Caenorhabditis elegans: one gene and its partner. The protein of the gene in region 1 purifies or fractionates together with the protein of each later gene. This does not show direct contact. Each region holds a gene or a part of one and is shown on either strand. Other genes may lie near its edges.

The links. Proteins that work in one complex are often made in the same cells at the same time.
Region 2: the proteins of mccc-1 (region 1) and mrpl-44 fractionate together in Caenorhabditis elegans (co-fractionation; one large-scale study listed by BioGRID). This does not show direct contact.

Annotation. Positions count from the first base shown.
Region 1 is NC_003282.8:9,881,635-9,889,682, reverse strand, and holds mccc-1 (Methylcrotonoyl-CoA carboxylase subunit alpha, mitochondrial), read right to left. Parts: upstream 5,114-8,048; coding exon 4,922-5,113; intron 4,874-4,921; coding exon 4,561-4,873; intron 4,514-4,560; coding exon 4,226-4,513; intron 4,176-4,225; coding exon 4,005-4,175; intron 3,954-4,004; coding exon 3,706-3,953; intron 3,661-3,705; coding exon 3,333-3,660; intron 3,287-3,332; coding exon 3,102-3,286; intron 3,054-3,101; coding exon 2,910-3,053; intron 2,865-2,909; coding exon 2,718-2,864; 3' UTR 2,538-2,717; downstream 1-2,537. Other genes in the region: ttbk-3 (non-specific serine/threonine protein kinase), read left to right, coding at 1-46, 199-425, 474-577, 621-776, 1,024-1,322, 1,745-1,895, 1,940-2,080, 2,128-2,493; prp-18 (Pre-mRNA-splicing factor 18), read left to right, coding at 5,402-5,569, 5,711-5,855, 5,900-6,024, 6,071-6,185, 6,232-6,345, 6,395-6,512, 7,160-7,346, 7,396-7,482; Nuclear hormone receptor family member nhr-4, read right to left, coding at 7,732-7,863.
Region 2 is NC_003281.10:9,082,688-9,093,213, forward strand, and holds mrpl-44 (Large ribosomal subunit protein mL44), read right to left. Parts: upstream 6,689-10,526; 5' UTR 6,687-6,688; coding exon 6,632-6,686; intron 6,584-6,631; coding exon 6,475-6,583; intron 6,340-6,474; coding exon of another isoform or gene 6,048-6,339; intron 6,002-6,047; coding exon of another isoform or gene 5,404-6,001; intron 5,349-5,403; coding exon of another isoform or gene 5,044-5,348; intron 4,993-5,043; coding exon of another isoform or gene 4,838-4,992; intron 4,793-4,837; coding exon of another isoform or gene 4,555-4,792; intron 4,510-4,554; coding exon of another isoform or gene 4,435-4,509; exon of another isoform or gene 4,057-4,434; intron 4,048-4,056; coding exon 3,972-4,047; intron 3,921-3,971; coding exon 3,674-3,920; intron 3,597-3,673; coding exon 3,441-3,596; intron 3,393-3,440; coding exon 3,146-3,392; intron 2,550-3,145; coding exon 2,460-2,549; intron 2,406-2,459; coding exon 2,201-2,405; 3' UTR 1,623-2,200; downstream 1-1,622. Other genes in the region: mccc-2 (putative methylcrotonoyl-CoA carboxylase beta chain, mitochondrial), read right to left, coding at 4,435-4,509, 4,555-4,792, 4,838-4,992, 5,044-5,348, 5,404-6,001, 6,048-6,339, 6,475-6,583, 6,632-6,686; glp-1 (glp-1/Notch intracellular domain), read left to right, coding at 9,626-9,765. UniProt on the Caenorhabditis elegans protein: Component of the mitochondrial ribosome. May have a function in the assembly/stability of nascent mitochondrial polypeptides exiting the ribosome.

The DNA.
Region 1 (8,048 bases):
GTGAGAAAGTCATGGAAATTGGGGAAATTGTTATTGCTCCAATGATGTAAGTTTCTTCATTTCACACAACAGTCATACTACCCAATAATATCATTTGGAAGCTCGCTTCTCAATTGGATTCTGTCTGTTCAAAAAATTGTCCTTATCAAAATATTTTTTGACCATCCAACTGACATAGTACATTATATATTCTTGTAGGCTTGGTGACTGGATGATTACACACCAAATTGGAGAAGGCACATTTGCTAAAATCTTCGTCGGTCGGAGTCTTCCATTTGATCAGTATTACGCTGTAAAAATAGAAGTTCGCCTTACCTCAATGGATTTTATCGATCACGAAGTGACAGTTATGAGACTTCTCAGTTATCCAAATGAACTACCGCACATTCCAAAATGTGTCTTTTTTTCAAAACAGAAAGATCTGAGTAATTTAAAACTCAAATTTCCATTGGAGTGCATTCTTTGATTTACAGATTTTTTCGTTATGACACTTCTTGGTGAAAACTTGAGAGATTTGAAGCTGAAATGTCCAGATCGGCGTTTTCTGCGAGGAACTTGGAGTCGACTTGGTATTCAGGTATCATTAAATGAAGTTTAAAATCTATTTAACCTTGATTCAGATTTTATATGCCCTGAAATTGATGCATGAAAAAGGTTTCATTCATCGAGATATAAAACCGGAAAACCTATTGATGGGAGCAGCCGATGATAGAAAAAGGAGCCGCATTGTGCATGTTATTGATTTTGGATTAACAAGACAATGGGCATGGTCGAAAGTGAGTTTTCGATATTTTTTTGATAATTTTGACTTAAAATAGTTGTGATATTTACCGTATTTTCTCAGTTTATCTGGCATCTTCTTGCTAGACAGGTAGGCGCGTAGAGGAGGTAAGCAGGTAGGTACGTAGGTTGTTAGACACGTAAACAGACAATCGCACAAGTAGGCACAAGGGTTGTGCGGCTGGCTGATTTTTTCGGCTGTCGGCGCTAGCCTCTTCCTACAGATCCATGATTTATATCCAGGAAAAAGCCTTCTATGCTCGCCCACTTCGTACCAAGGTGCAATTCCGTGGATCTCTGAACTTTACATCTTCAAATGCTCATCTGGGATACAAACTTGGCCGAAAAGATGATCTATGGTCACTTCTGTTCACATTGGTTGATTTGAATGATCGTCTTCCATGGCATGGAGTGAAAGATCATATGATTCTCGCACGACAAAAAATGAATATGGGTGTGGCTCTGATGAAAATGCCAAAAACGATGGAGAGATTTTTCGAGCATCTGCTTGAGTGTAGAGCCTTGCAAAGACCAAACTATCAGTAGGTTTCCAGTTTCAACTTTTACTTTTCTAATATTAGCTAAACATTAGATTTTTCCTTTTTTGTGTCGAAAATACGGTACCCGGTCTCGACACGAAAAATTGAGTAATTGTGTGCGCAATTTTTCTTCGAATTTTCATATTTTTTCTCTATTTGTTGAAATTTATGTGTTCCCTTTTTTTAATGTGAAAATTTCGCAGCAATGAAAATTTTACTTTACAGTACTCTTCGTACCTATTCGCATTTAACAACAAAAGTCGTGTCGAGACCGGCTACCGTATTCATCTCGGGAGTAACACTGTTGACAGTGGACAGTTTGAATAATCGAATAATAAATTATATTTTTACATGGATACTTTTTTAAAAGTTTATACAGCTTGAAACTACTGAAAATTCTTCATTGATAAATATTTCATATTCAGTATGATGTTCAATATCCTCAAAGGAATTCAATCGTTATCAGAAGATACACCGACTTCAAAGTACACATTTGAAGAGGTGGAACTTTCTGAAGATGATCTTGAAGAACGATTCACAGGAGAATGGGAAGAAGTGACTGGAGAATTTTTCGCGGTTTGTAGATAAAGATCGTAAGGCTTTGAGATGTTTATTTCCAGATTGATGAAGTTAAAATCAATAATCCGGAAAAATGTTCAAAGCTGGCCAGTGAATGGAAAAATCCTGACGTTGATGTGTTCCAATCTGCAAGCAAAAATCAAAAAGGCAGTAAAATGATGTTGAGCTATGAATTTAGACTTGTAAGTGTTCAAAATACAAATCAACCATATTGTTGAAAATTGTTCAGACTGGAAAAAATGAAGAACAGACTGGAAAAAATGAAGAAAAAATGAACGAATATGCATATCGTTGGGAAAAAGCAAGAGAAAGATACAGACAAAGGATGTTACGATTGAAGCTTAATGATCGCAACAAGCAGCAATTTGAAGCTAAGAACTACATGGAACAACAAATAGAGAATGATAGAAGAGATCGTTTAGATGATATTGAGAATGTCGCTCTGAAGTATTTGACGACTGAAGGTGCCAACAGTGATGAAAAGGATGCGGAAGTGAATATGTCTGAGCTTCATAAGGACAGGAATGATGTATTGAGAGATGCCCAGAAATTGATCCGTAAAAGAGAAGGAACTTTCAATTCATCTCCAAAATAATTGGAATATACTTGAGCTTTTCCGAATGAACGATTGATTGAATATATTCACATAATTTTATTTCTAGGTAAAGGCACATAAAAAATATCTGAGCTGCACAACCGTACTCAAAATTAATTACACTTGAAACTGTCAAAGGGTGTTGTAAGAAAAATTGAAAAGCTCTGAAAATACCGGATATAGCTATAAAACCTAAGAGAAAAAACCAAAAATAAAGGTAATGCCTATGCGAATTGAACCAAAACTGCATTTTTTGGAACATTTTTGCCTGCCTGGCACTTAATGTGTTCAACAGTTGAGTCTTCCGGGGCACGAATGATGTATTCCATTTTCATTGCTGTCATCACTACGAGTGCTTGGCCTGTAGTTACCTAAACTTTGAGTTATTTAATTTTTCGGCATGTACTTGTACATACCTGCTCTCCAGGCTTCACAAGAATTTTTTCAATAATTCCTGGCATTGGTGCGACGGCAGAATGACTGGCTGCTCCTCCGGATAACGAATCAAATGTTTCATGGATTTGTGGAGTTTCATATTCGTTTTGACCAACTCCATTCACCTTAAAGTTAACTTTTCAAAACTATGATTTGTTGAGACACAAACTTACCATCAAACTATTTCCTAGATTTTTAACGACAGTACTCCAGCGCCTGCCATTAGCTTCCAATGTAAACTTGAAAGATCCGTCTGTGGTTGATTCAATGTCGTTGAGAAGTGTTTCATAACTGTTGCCATCATAAGACACTGTCAGGCGACTATCAGAATCAAATCTAATGCTGACATCTTTTCCGTCTGAATTTAAGCTATTTATTTTTCTTTATCAAACTAAACGCGTTACCTATTTTGAAAATGTATTTTGGTGACAAATTCATTCTAAAGAAAGATAAATTCTGGAAGACACCTGCATCTGATTTTTGAAGGGCAGCCAAAGCATGTGCTACAGCCGACTCAACGTAAATTTCAGCAGGAGTTTCAGATTCAGCAAATAGTTCCTTCTGGTGATCAGGGATAAAATCGGTATAAACATTTCCTGCGGCAAATTCAGGATGAGCAAGAACTCTGCGGACAAAGTCAATGTTTGTGGGTAGCCCTGAGATTCTTGTACGAGCCAAAGCACTTTCCAATTTTGCAGCAGCAACAGCACGATCCTGGCCCCACACTACCACCTAGAAAAGGAGATGATTGTTTAGAAGCTGTTCTGAAATACTTACCTTAGCAATCATAGGATCGTAATGGATTGATACTTCGTCTCCAGAAACAACTCCTGTATCGATTCTAGCATCTTCCGGGAAGTCAACATAATTAAGACGTCCCGCAGTTGGCATGAATGCTCCTTTACGAGTATCCTCGGCATACACACGACATTCAAATGCATGACCGTTTAATGGAATTTCTGATTGTTTCAGTGGAAGCTTCTCTCCTTGAGCTACCCGTAATTGCCATTCAACAAGATCCGTGCCTGAAATCAAATTATTTGATAATTTCCAATCTCCCATTATAAAATCTATACCTGTGATAGCTTCACTGACGGGATGTTCGACTTGAAGCCGAGTGTTCATTTCCATAAAGTAGAATTCGCCACGCGGGTCCATGATGAACTCGACGGTACCTGCTCCAACATATCCCACAGCCGCCGCAGCACGAACAGCTGATTCTCCGAGTTTTACACGAGTATCATGTTCTGCAAAAACATTAAATCTCATTTAAAACTTTTTCACGAGACTGACTTACCCATATTTGGCGCTGGTGCTTCTTCAATAATTTTCTGATGACGTCTTTGAACGGAGCAATCTCTTTCCCATAAATGAACATAGTTTCCATGGTGATCTCCGAAAACTTGTACTTCAACGTGTCTCGGCTTCTCGACAAACTTTTCCACGAGCATTTCATCGTTTCCAAACGACTTCTTAGCTTCGTTACGAGCTGAAGCCAGTTTTTCTTCGAATTCAGCCTCGTTCCACGCAATTCTCATTCCTTTTCCACCTCCACCATAGACAGCCTTCAGCATAACCGGGTAGCCTGAAATTTTAAATAAATTTATGTGGGGCTATACTTTAAAAAATTACCGATTTCTGCTGATTTCTTTTTCAAATTAGCATCTGATTGATCTTCTCCGTGGAATCCTTTTACTACAGGAACTTTAGCATCTTCCATGATTTGCTTCGATACATTCTTGGCTCCCATATCCCTGATAGCTTGGGCTGGTGGTCCAATAAAAACAAGGCCGGCCTGAGCACATTTTTCAGCGAATCCAGCATTTTCAGATAGGAAACCGTATCCTGGGTGAATAGCTTGTGCTCCAGATCGCAATGCACTGTTGATAATTTTGTCCATATTCAGATAACTTTCCGCTGCAAGAGGAGGGCCGATGTGGTATGCCTGACATTAAATTCAGTTTAACACTTCACGAATACTATGGATTCTTACCTTGTCAGCTTTTTTAACAAAGAGGGAATTACGGTCTGCGTCAGAAAAAACAGCAACTGTCTCAATTCCCATTTTACGAGCGGTATTTTGGACGCGAATGGCGATTTCTCCACGATTTGCAACTAAAACCCGTTGAATGGGACGAATTAGAGGGGCAGTTGAGGCACATCGTTTTTGGAATACACCAAGCATCTGAAAATAAAAACATATTGGGAAGATGTCTCAATTAAAAAGATATCAAGAAAAAGAGCAGAAAGCGGATGTGGAGCATGTTTCAGCAATAAAATAAACTTTTCTCAATCGAGCGTGTTTGCATTGCGCTGTCTGCGTCTCTCATTTTCTGTCTCTCTATTTTCTTCATTTTCGAATAAAAATCTTAAATTGACGATTTTCATCCGGTTTCCATTTTTTCCTTTATTCCGTTAGTTTCTTTTTTTACTTTATTTTAAATCAATGCTTCTATTATTATTTCTTCAGATAATGGATTTCAAAGCAAAACTACTTGCTGAAATGGCAAAAAAACGAAAAGCCGTGTCTGGAATGGAAGTAAAAGAAGGAAACGCAAAGTTTGTCAAAGGCGCTGATTTAGAAATGAAAAGAAATCAGGAATACGAAAGAAAACAGCAGGAAATAGCTAGTAAGAAACGAGTAAGTTTTCTTTTAAAAACTTCGTTGTAGGAATTTGTCTTATAAAATTTTCTGACACTAATAAAGAAGGATTAGGTATTGCTGAATAATATTTGCAATTAAATTATCATATAGTAAATCATTATAAAAGACATCATTTAGAAAGTTGACGACGAGATACTTCAAGAATCATCCAGTCGAACTAAACCCGCGCCCGTGGAAAACGAATCAGAGATTGATGAAAAAACACCAATGTCGGAAATTCAAACACGTCTTCGCCAGCGAAATCACCCAATTATGCTTTTCGGTTTGGCATTTTCCAAAATCGTATTTAAAAAAATTAATTTTCAGGTGAAACTGATATTGATGTGCGTAAACGCCTTCATCAGTTAGAACTTGCTCAACCTGATCTCAATGAAGGATGGGAAAATGAATTACAAACAGCAATGAAAGTTATCGGAAAAGAAATGGATAAGGTTAAAAATAACATTAATTCAAATTTCATGAAATGAAATATTGCAGGCAGTGGTTGAAGGTACAGCTGATAGTGCAACACGACATGATATTGCTCTTCCACAAGGATATGAAGAAGATAATTGGAAAAATATCGAACATAATTCAACTCTTTTGAGCGTCGGTATGAGATTTGAAATAATTTCTCGAAACTATATTACTTTTTATAGATGACGATTTGAAACGAGATTGTGATATTATTCTTTCAATTTGCCGTTATATACTCGCAAGATGGGCTAAGGATCTGAACGATAGGCCACTGGATGTAAAAAAGACAGCACAAGGTACAATAAATTAAAAAAAAAGTGTATTAAATGTTTATATTTTCAATAGGTATGCATGAAGCAGCCCATCACAAGCAAACAATGATGCATCTTAAAAGTTTAATGACTTCAATGGAAAGATACAACTGTAATAATGATATTCGGCATCATTTGGCCAAGATTTGTAGGTTAGTAGGTTATTTTTTGATTCAACATTATAATTTTCATCGAAATTCACTTAAAAAATAAACTAATTTTATTCAAAATGCGAAAATTATCTTGTAATTGGAAATTTCCGGGGTTTTCAAATGTAGCTGAGCAAAAAAAAAACTAATTTAAATATGGAGTTTTAAAATGGCTCCAAATTTGATTCCGTGCCAATTAAGCATTTTATTATCATGAAAATTCCAGAGTTGGATTTCTGTCCAATTGTGATGTGAAAATAAGCGGATCTGCGAATTTTGAGAAAATAAAATATTCAATTGACACGAAAAAACCATTTTTCAAAAAAAAAAAACTTACACGAAAAGAGAAAACTCGGTAAATTGGCATGAAATTTGATGGAAAGAACTCGTAAAAATTTAATAGGTACATAGGTATTCAAAATTAGAGACATTTAAAAAATTTTTTTCGAAATTCCGCGTTTGAATAATAAAAGTATAATCATATATTTAAAACATTTATTTTTTCACTAAAACCTTTCTCTGTTTATCGAATTTTTGAGATTTTCAGAAATTCAAATACTATACCAAAAAAAAATCAAAAATTAAACTGCAATGTGTATGAAAAAATTCTTAAATTTTCTTTATTTTCGGTTGTTTAATATATATTTCAGATTGCTAGTAATTGATAGAAATTATTTGGAAGCAAATAATGCCTATATGGAAATGGCCATCGGAAATGCACCTTGGCCAGTTGGAGTAACTCGTTCTGGTATTCATCAACGTCCTGGATCTGCAAAATCATATGTCAGTAATATTGCTCACGTACTGAATGATGAAACTCAGAGAAAGTACATTCAGGTTAGAATTTCCATATTCTTTTGAAAATCTCAACTTTTAAACATTATAGGCGTTCAAACGACTGATGACCAAAATGCAAGAATATTTTCCAACGGATCCATCGAAAAGTGTCGAATTTGTTAAAAAGGCTGTTTGAATTCTCATTATTTATCTTGTTCAATTGTTGTTTAATTATTTATAAGTTAAAAAAAAGGAATTTATTTTCTTTTGCAATACACAACGATTATATACATATTTATCTATGGTACAGGATATCACAGCGTCAAAATGTTCAATAAGATATATACGGATGTTTCAAGAAATAATCCATTCAAATAATGAAACAGTCAAGTTCTGATATGAAACGAGATCAAAGAGGTAGAATCCAAAAACCGAAATTAACACATTAACCCATTGGAGCTGGAGGAGAATGTTGAGGTGGAGTCGTCTTATGAGTTGCTTGGATTAGTTCGTCAAATTCAATTATATTGAAAAGTGACGTCACATGAACTCCTTCATTCATTAAATGTGTCAAACTCTGAAAATTCAAAATATTATGAGTCATGCGACAAAAAAGGTCTCGACACGTTTTTTTTGTAAAATACAAATGGGTGTGCGTCTTTAAAGAGTACTGTAATTTGAAATTTTCGTTGATGTGGATTATTTCCGATTTTTCATAGTTTTCGGTTAAGAAGATTTTTATTTTGGCATTTTTTAACATTA
Region 2 (10,526 bases), on another chromosome or scaffold:
GTTCCGAGGTCCATTGAGCAGTTGAAAGAATTGGGTACAAAGTGCAGGGTTACGGTAGCTTATTTGCCAACAACGTAATTCAGAAACTGGAAGGACAAGTTGCATAGTTTTTTGAAGTTTGAAAAGCGCAGGTAGGAAAACTTGATAATTTTTCAAAATTTCCAAAAGAGAATAAGTCAAAAACTAATAGGTTTTGCAAAAAAAATTTCTACATACAAAATATAGGTCATAACGTTTTCTTTGTTTTTGTTATTGACAATTTGTTATCAACTCTTCTTTGAAAAAAGTTAAAGCATTTGACATCTGGCGGCTTAATTTTTTCCAATCATTTTTGGAGCTTTCTGTAATTAACTGAATTTCATGGTATTTTCAATTAAAAAAAACAGATTTTCATTCTTTATGCTCCTCGAATTCGATTCTTCAACATTTTTGATAGAAAATGTTAAAAGTGCGACATCGTGGTCGCGTTTTTGTAAAGCTCATTTGCAGAACTTCATAGCATTTGTCAATCCGTGATCTCTACTTTTCCATCTCTTTTTCAATCGAATCTAGAACATTCCAATCCCTATCATCTTATCTCTTTATCAATTTCATCAGGCTCTTCATTGACCCCATTACACTTTGATGTACCTGCAAACCTTAGTCAATGAGATGTTTTGTTTCAGTTTCATCAGAGGGATCTTCTGAACGCTTCAGACACTTCATAACACACTACAAACCACAAAGTATGTCTATGGCTCAATTGTGTCACGTGATGTCTTGCAGCTTTTTGAGAAATGAAAGAAGAAGAAGCTCAAAAGCACAAAGACAGTGTAAAAAAGAAAAAAAACTAAAGGTGAATCAGGAATCATGAAAAAATCAAAGAAAAAGTGCAACTTTATCTCTTTTTTATCATCACCACCAATTGCTCAAATTGTTCCCATTAATGCATGGAAGATGGAGCCAGGTGTGATGTGGTACTTCTCAATTTGTTTGGCTGAAAAGGTCATTGAACAACTGACTTGAAGAATTATGTCAGATTCTTTAAACTTTCACTCTGACAGAACAAAACTAATCTTGCGTAGTTATATCATTCGATTGTTACGTCGAAAATACGGTACCTGGTCTCAACGCGAATGCGTTTTGTTAAATGTGAAAAGGTGTGCGCCTTTTAAGAGTACTGTGATTTCAAACTTTGTGGAATTTTAATCGATTTTTCATAGTTTTTCTCAGGAAATCTATGTTTTTATATTGTTTGATTTTCGTTTTTTTAAAAGTTTATCGAAAATATGATTATCATAAAAAATATGTATATAATATGTTCATCGAAAAAATATACAAAATATTTTATATTATTATTATTGGCAAAAACAAGTACTTAGTTTAAAGAAGCAGTACGATGTGTTTGCACGTAAAATAAAATGCAAGAGTGCACTCAACAGAGCTCACCAACTACCGTAATCATAGAGAATGACGTCTGAATTTTCTTTTTCCGGATCTGTAAACCTGTGGTTTCTTACGTATTTTTTTCTGTAATGTCCATTACATTGGTGTGATCTATAATCGGTTGATAACTGACTGATAAACAAATGAATGAATTTTTCTATAATTCTATAGAACGCTCCAATTTCCACCTTCCACTGTTTATAAAATATTGTTCAAATTTAATCTTCCATCAACAAACTGCATATCAAATTTCTAATAAACAAGAAGAATCGTCCCATTGGGGCTTATCAAAGGGTCACATCTCTTGTGTATGTGCTCACGGAGCCAGCAGCGGGGTCTTAGATAAATGGGGTTGCATCTGGCCAAGGGGGACCCCATCATTTATCAAGGAGCCGATGGGAGGACAAAGAGCAAAGCGGAGATGGAAGGAAGAAGGGAACAACAAGAAGAGAGGAAAGGGATGCATTATGAATTCAATTTGAATTTTAAATGTGACTAATTTATGTTCCTTTAACAAGATGGGAACTGAATGGATTAGCTGTTGCCAATTTCGACTTCATTGAGCACTCATGTACAAGTGTGGAAATGGGGAAATGTAGTAGAACAAATAACAGAGTAAAATTGAAACTTTCACTATTCTAGCTTGATTTGAAAAATTTAACAACACAAACAAAAATGAAAGGAAAACTATTTGGAACAAAACAAAAAAAGAGGAAAAATGAGATAATACGATTGAAATCTGAAGGTTTAAAGGCTTCTCTCTAGATAATAATAATTAAGCAACCGTGTAAGGCTTCGGCTTGACAAGATATCTGAAGGACCGTTTCGCAAGCGAACCACGCGAGAATTTGTGTCGCAATCGTTTAGTGTAGCTCTTTCCTACTTCTGCATCAACCACATTTCGGTATCGGAGAACTGCTTCAATTAGATTGTCTGGTGATTCAACAGGTTGGCTATGGTCAATAATGTTCGTGTTTGTTCTGAAATTAAGAAGTAGATTTTCATTGATTTTGAAGATTGGTTTTGGCAAATACCCTGGAGAGCACTTCTGTGACAATGAGAAATTCGGTTGAGAGTATCGTTCCAGTGGTACATTGGCAGCACGATCGCCAAAGAAGAGGACTCTGAAAAAATTACTTTATTTTTAATTTCATAGAATTTAAACTTTCGCTGAATATTTTTTGCTGGAAAATCGGGTTATCTAGCTTCAAAATTCATGAATTTCGAAATTTGACTTTTGTTTTCAAAAAAAAAAGACACTCGAAAATGTAACTAGCGTAGTAGGTTCAAAAATGTTCCAAAAAAGCGTTTTAAACAGAATATTATCTGTTTTTCGCTTTTTCTGGGTTTTCGGCGAATTTTATTTTTTCGTTGTCTTCGGCTTTTTTTTGCCCCAGCCCTGCTTCTGATTAAGCTTGAAATTTTAATTTTTTAAATATCATCTAGATGCGAAATTTTGCGCCAAAAATACGGTACCTAGTCTGAACACGAAATTGTTTTTGAAATGTGTACTGTAACTTCAAGCTCTTGTTGCTGCTAAATTTTTATTGATTTTTCATTTTTTTCCCCCTAAAAACTACGAAAAATCTATGATAATTCACACTCTTTTACATTTTACAAAAAAACCGGGTACCGATTTTTTTGTGCAAAAATTGAAAATTTTCGCTTCTCGGTAATAGCTACAGGAGCATCGTATCAAATATTTTTTGATAAAAATTACTTTTCTGAAGTAATATCCCAGAGTCTGAGCAATGCTTCTCTAGCAGCCATATCAACAGCAATTGCCAATGATTCTCCAGCACTTTGTCCAACATTCTTCAATTTGTCCGCATAAATTGCAACAACATAGATCGGCTCTGCGCTGTTCTCTCCGGCCGATCGAAGAACTCGTGGCTCAATTTCAGTGACACCGTTAGATTTTAACAAATCAGTTACAACAGCAAGAGGATCGGCAAGTGGGTATATGTCTGCAATTTATGAAATAAAAATATAAATCTGGAAGATAATACCATTACCAGCAAAATCAATATCAACTAGTTGGGGAACTATGAAATCGATCACAAGATTTTTCACTTTTTCATCAGAGAAAACTCCAGCGAGAGCACGGAAAGCGTCGGCTGAGGATTCTTGACTGATCGGGAATTCTTTTGTACGGACAAGGTGGTCGATACCTGAAATTGAAATTATTTTGAAACTAAATATAAAATGCTGAACTGAAAACAAGATACAATTCGTGAGGAAGTCTCACCGAGATGACTAGCAATACCAGCAAGACATTCATCATCCAAAAGATGAGAATCAATTGCTTCAATCAATTCCTCAGGAGCCTTTGCCAAATGGAATCGCAAATATCTTTTAAGCCAAATCGACAGATTTTGCTCTCCACGTTTCACAAGCTCTGCATTATGTTCAGTTCCAACTTCTGCTCCCGGCTGAGCACTTTCTACATTTTCTTCGACGTCGGCTCTTTGAAAAAATGATTCATTTGTAAGCGCCTGAAAAATGAAAATTTTTCAGATTCCTACTTTGAAATATTTTTAACTTACCTTAATATACTGATCCTCGGATATTTCCGGTGCTCCAATTCTGTGTCCAAAAGCATATAGTTCACTGTCGTAATCCCTGCAAATTTTTAATTTGTCTTTATTCTAAAATTTCTCCTGTAAATATAAGCCATTTCCCATTTCTCCCTGTGTTGTGCAGAATAAATAAAAACATAGTGAATCAGTTTAATATACAATAGAAACGAGGTAAAATAATTAATATATATATTTATCATATCAACTTTATTTGTTTCATAACTAAAGAGAAAATTCCTAGATAACACATAAAGGCACTCGATTGGTATGAAGCAGGTTAGAAATCAACGGAAGCAATCAGAATCAAAGCTATACTCTAAATAAATTTAAACCGTCGTAACATACTAACAAAAAGCTCTATATTAAAGAAAATCCGTATAAAAATCTCACAACAAAAAATACATGAGTGAGATGGTCCTGAATCAACAAGTTACATGCGGAATACACCGAATTTGGTTTCTGGGATTGGCTTTTGCAGGGTTGACTGGAAAGCGAGTCCGAGAACCTGGAAAAATTTGGGTTTTTCTAGAAGTGTTTTGAGAAACCATACCTTTCTGGTGTCTTTTGGATCGATAACTCCATCATCCCAAAGACGAGCGGAAGCAAAGTATGGGTGTCCTTCCTTCTCAAACTTTTCCTCGACAGGTTTACGAAGCTCAAGATCTTGCTGATCCGTCCAGTCAGCTCCCTCGCGCTTCTTTTTCTCTTTTTGAACAGTTGAAAGTACATTCGCTGCCTGTTCTCCACCCATTACGGAAATTCGAGAATTAGGCCACATGAACACATATCTGGAAATAGCTAGATTGAAAGTATCCCAACTATATTTTCCAAACCTTGGACTGTATCCTCTTCCACACATTCCGTAGTTTCCAGCTCCGTATGAACCTCCGACGAGAACGGTGATTTTTGGAACCTTTGCACAAGCGACCGCAGTAACTAATTTAGCTCCATGTTTAGCAATTCCGCCGGCTTCAGCATCTCTTCCAACCTAAAAAATTAGATTAAACTCTGTGAATATTGAAAAATTGTCGAATCATACCATGAATCCAGTGATATTTTGAAGGAAAAGAAGAGGAATCTTCCGTTGACAACACAGCTCAATAAAATGAGAACCTTTCATGGCACTTTCAGCAAACAGAACACCATTATTAGCTAGAATTCCTACACGCTGCCCATAAATAGTAGCAAATCCGGTCACAAGCGTCTCTCCATATCTCTCCTTGAATTCGTGGAATCGAGAGCCATCGACAATTCTAGCGATAACCTCGCGGACGTCGTATGTCTTTTTGAGATTAGATCCCACGATTCCGTAAATTTCCTCAGCTGGATACAAAGGCTCATCAGCTGAAAATTTTGAAGAATGAGAATTAGAAACATGAATATTTTACTATTGTAATACCGTTTGGATTGAAGGTCATATGCTCCTCGACTGGTGGTAGTCCCGCGATACAACTTCTTGCCAAGTACAAAGCATGTTTATCATTATGGGCATAATAATCAGTAACACCCGATTCTCCACAGTGAAGATCAGCTCCACCAAGTTCCTCGGCAGAGATCTCTTCTCCAGTTGCAGCTTTCACAAGTGGTGGTCCTCCAAGGAAAACAGTTCCGGTTCCTTTGACAATAATGGCTTGATCAGACATAGCTGGAACGTAAGCTCCTCCTGCTGTACAACTTCCCATAACTACAGCCAATTGTGGAATTCCTTCGCTGCTCATTGTTGCTTGGTTGTAAAAAATTCTTCCGAAATGCTGGCTGTCGGCAAAGATATCTGCTTGGCGTGGAAGATTTGCGCCACCAGAATCTACGAGATAGATACAAGGCAATTTGTTTTCGCGGGCGATTTCTTGTGCACGAAGATGCTTTTTTACGGTGATAGGATAGTATGTTCCTCCCTTGACAGTCGCATCGTTCGCTACAATGACACAAACACGACCAGAAACTATTCCAACTCCAGTGAGAATTCCACCAGATGGGACTTCCTCTTTTCCATACATCTGAAAAGAAACAGTCAATTTCAAATCGGATACGAATATCGTTTACCTCGTATCCAGCAAGTTGACTAAACTCTATGAATGGTGATCCAGCATCGACAATGCCGTCAATTCTTTCTCTTGCAAGCATTTTTCCACGACTGCGGTGTAATTTCACGGCTTTTTCTCCTCCAGCTTGCTCGATTTTAGATATTTTTGCTTTCAAATCTTCCACGAGAACCTTCATTTCAGCAGTGTTAGCAGCAAAATCGTCCGAAGAGTTGTCGATGGAAGTCTTGATAGGAGCCCATTGAAGAGTTGACTTGTCAGCAGAGCAATGATGATTACGTACTTGCACAGAACTGAGATGGGTTAAGAAAATACTTAAACCGCTTGAGTTTCAAGCGATTTTCAATTGCAATTAGCAGCACAGTGAGTCAATACAGTGGGAAATGGGAAACGGCTTTTGTATGACATTTTTCTGAGAAAAAACTTACCAGTTTGGGTATGAAGATCGGGAAATTGCTGGATCAGCTCCAAGAATCTGTCGGCGATGGTAAAGGTCCTTCAGGTATCCTCGCTCCCATCGAGTACGCAGCAACCGGTCTGGAAAACAGATATTGAATATCAAAACTAATAATTGCTCAAACTCACATGACTGAATGGATGTGTTTCTTGAGCCCAAATTTTGAGCCACGTGACGGAACATTACTGCAATTAAAAGCTATGAAAAACATCGATTTGGAATAAAAGACTGTCCAACTCGAAAAATCAGCGTTCAATGGGCAAATTCTGACGAATTCGGCAAGTAAGAAGATTATTAAGATTGCAATAATAATTTTCGCACATTTTTCGAACTAAAAATCGTTGAAATCGTAAAAAATAAAGGGGAAAAACTTATTTGCAAAGTTGATGATAAGAAAAAAACACCGAGCAAAAACTTGACTAAACTGGGCGCACGCGGGATATCGGAGTCTCGTACCCGACAAAACGCGGGCGTTCAAATTAGAGTTTTTGTCATTTCATTAGAATTTTGATATATGCACAGCAGATATCCTTCTAAAGCCGTTCCATAAGTTGTCAGCAAAATATACAATATACAATTAAATGCTGTATTCCACCTCTATGTTCCCTATGAATTCGTTCTAATTTATACAAGTACAACATAATATGTACTTGCATTGATTACAAGTACATGCAATATTTTCTCACACCATTATACTTGAACACCTGAATCATATAATTGACAGCAGTGACTAATTAGAATAACATGCACGTCTTCCTGTCTGAAATTTATCCGGTCATGAACTTTCCAAGTCATGGGAACCTAGGCAAGTGACGTGGTTATCTAACTAGCCAGTTAGATAACCACGTCACTTGTGCTAAGGTCCTTCCGGTACGCAATCGTATTCTATCTACTAATTAATAATAATTTTCTCATAGCCATTAAATATTTAACTTTCAGAATATTCAAAATGTCAATTTGATAAATCGAATTTAAGATGTTAAGAAAATATTAAATTCAGAAAAAAAATTATCTTCAAAATTCAATACCGTACCGTTCAATTTTTAATAAACATATGTTCTATAGCCCAATTTGATACACCAATTACTCTCAGCAACTCTTCATTTATCTTTTAGGCATTAGGACCTTATAAGGTGGTACCAAAATTTTCAGCCACCTGGCTAATTCTAGCAAGTTCCGTATAAGTAAAAGGTATAAATCAGAAAACTTAAGAATTTGAAAATATCCACAACTGCTTAAAAATTCAATTAAAGTTGTAAAATTAATCCTAACTCCTTGTGCTGTACAAAACCCATTTTATGGAAACATTCAGAATCCCCAATACTTTTTCTCTTTTCTCACATGACCTTATAGTTTATCTTCCGAATGCTGAATGTTTTTTCTTCAGTACAAATGTTTTGAATACCTAGGTAACCTCGAGTATGAGAAACAACATTAACAATGTTTTGGGAGAAACATGTAGTTTTGTACGTCCGGTCCAGTGAGAGTTTTCAACTTATTTTGGAAGAAATTTTTTTTTGACAAAATTTTGCAATTTCCCACGCAGAAATACGGTATGCCCCGTATCTCGCCACGAACATAATATTTTAAATTGACGGAAAGGTGTGCGCCTTTAAGAAGCACAGTAACCATTTTCCGGTTTTTTTTTTGAAATTGCCTTTGATTTTTACTTTTTTCTCCCAAAAACGAGAAATTTAATATAATCCATCAAAATCTTTGTGAACGAGAGAAATATAGTGAAAAACTCAAAGAAAATTGCGAAATGGATTACTGTACTCCATAAAGGCGCACATCTTTTCGAAAAATCGTGAAAAATTGCATCTGACCAACAGTTTTGCGTGGAATCTTCCTAGATTCAAATTTCCTATGAGTCATAAAACTATCATTTTATCGGACAATAACTACACGTGTACCTTGTTTCCATATGTTCTACCAATATAATTTGTGTTCATATGTGGCCAGGTACGGGAAATTAGAACACGGACTGATTTAGGAAGGTTCAAATTCGAGAACAATGGACGACTTGCTGCACGAAAACGTGGATTATTCTGAAACCGCCTATGTGATCACTATCGATTTAGCACTTCGGTTTTCTTTTTCCGTTTTCCTTTATATTCCGTATTGTATGCCGACAATAACGCTTTTTCTTTGTATAAACATTTCCAGAAGCAGAGCAAATTTGTTTATTCCAGAATTGACTGAATATTGAAATAATGTTTACAGACATACTGTAGATTTTTTTCTATTCAAACATGAATACAGTTTTTCGTATTTTTAATCTTCAGATAAGTTTTGTGTGTGTTTTTGAGAATAATATTTAAAAAAGATAAGCAAATATCAGAACTACGGTAAGCGAAGGGGTACGGTCGTCAATTGCGGACTTCCGAGCTGTGCACGGCGCCAAAATTTATTTTGAGTTTTAAAATGATTTTCTTTGTTTTTTTTTCTTTTTTTGACACGATAAGAACATTTTTCTGTATTTCTAATATTTTAAATGAGATCGTAATAAGTTTATTTAGCTCCATCACATTATTTTCGGAATATTCATCGCTTGAAAACGGCGTAAAATAGGTTCCAAGTAAATCATTGCAAACAAATCTCCGTTTATCGTTCTAACAAAGTTTTTCGTTCACTTTCTTATGTAAATCGTTTTCCCCACTTCTTCTTCACGGGAATGATCAATTGAAAGGCCATAAATTGGTTGTTTTCTCCACATTTCGCAACCAACATGCAGCTGTCGGATAGGCAATAAAATAATGTAATCAATGAGTTTTCCGATTTATCCTAACAGTTCTTTTTCTAGTGTTCCTATTCGAAAAAAGTACTGTTATCCTTCTTTTTGGACCGCCCATCTCAGGTGTCAAGACAATCGCAACACACTCAGAAAATGGGCGGAGTATGCCACCCGGCCTTCATTCGTCGCTCCTTGTCTTCTCCATTTTCGTTTTTTTCCTGTTCTCCGTTCTTTTTTTGTACTTTTGTGATAATGCTGAAGTGTTCTTTTTTTTCGCTTAACCGCATCTCTTGATTTAATTCATATTTTCTTTCAGATTCATGTACAATAACACCAAGAGCTGCTCTAACAACTAATAATAACAGAATCTCGAACAGCGAACACAACAATGCGAGTTCTTCTAATTTTACTCGCGTTTTTTGCGCCAATCGCCAGTCAACTTATGGGTGGAGAATGCGGAAGGGAAGGTGCTTGCTCCGTCAATGGAAAATGCTATAATGGAAAACTGATTGAGACATACTGGTGCCGGTAAGCATATATTTCATTCTCCCATGTCAATGTTATTCATCCGCTTTCTCATGAACCGTGACGAAAAGAACAAAAAAAAGAAAGTTTGGGCAGGTGGTGGTGGTGGGAAACAGGCGATAGATAAACAAAAGCTTGGTGTAGAGAACATTTTGAATAATATCCGAAAGTTGAATTATCACTGTCCATATTTCCCTCTAAGACATCATTAAACGCCACCCGGCTTGCAGAATGGGAACACAATGAACAGCAGGAGGCTGTCACAATGTAAAATCTCGTAAATCGTTCGGGAAATCTAAAAAATTGTTATTTAGTTTTCCCTTTTCTCTACAAACAATTCATTTTTCTTATCAATAACTTTGAGTTCCAAAGGCAAAATTTACAGCCGTTTACAGCCATCTTCCCAGGGTTGTCGGCGAATTTATATGGACGTTCATAAAACAATTGGATTAGCGTGTCGGTTCTTTAATCTTGTCTTTTCTTATTACTATCTAGCTCGTTTGATTAGTTATACAGAGAGTATCAACGTATTTATCGATAGGAAAATTGCGCCATGATGCTCTAAAATACATAAAATCGCTCGATTTATCTGAAAATAACACTTATTTCAGCTTAAAAATGTGAGAAAATGGTCCAAAATTGTCTGAAAGTTGTTGAGTGAATTATCGAGATTTGTTTTCTGATCACTTTCACGAATATATCAGCTGAAAAATTGTTATTTTCAAGTAAATCGATATATTTTGCCACGATTTTTGATTAAAAAT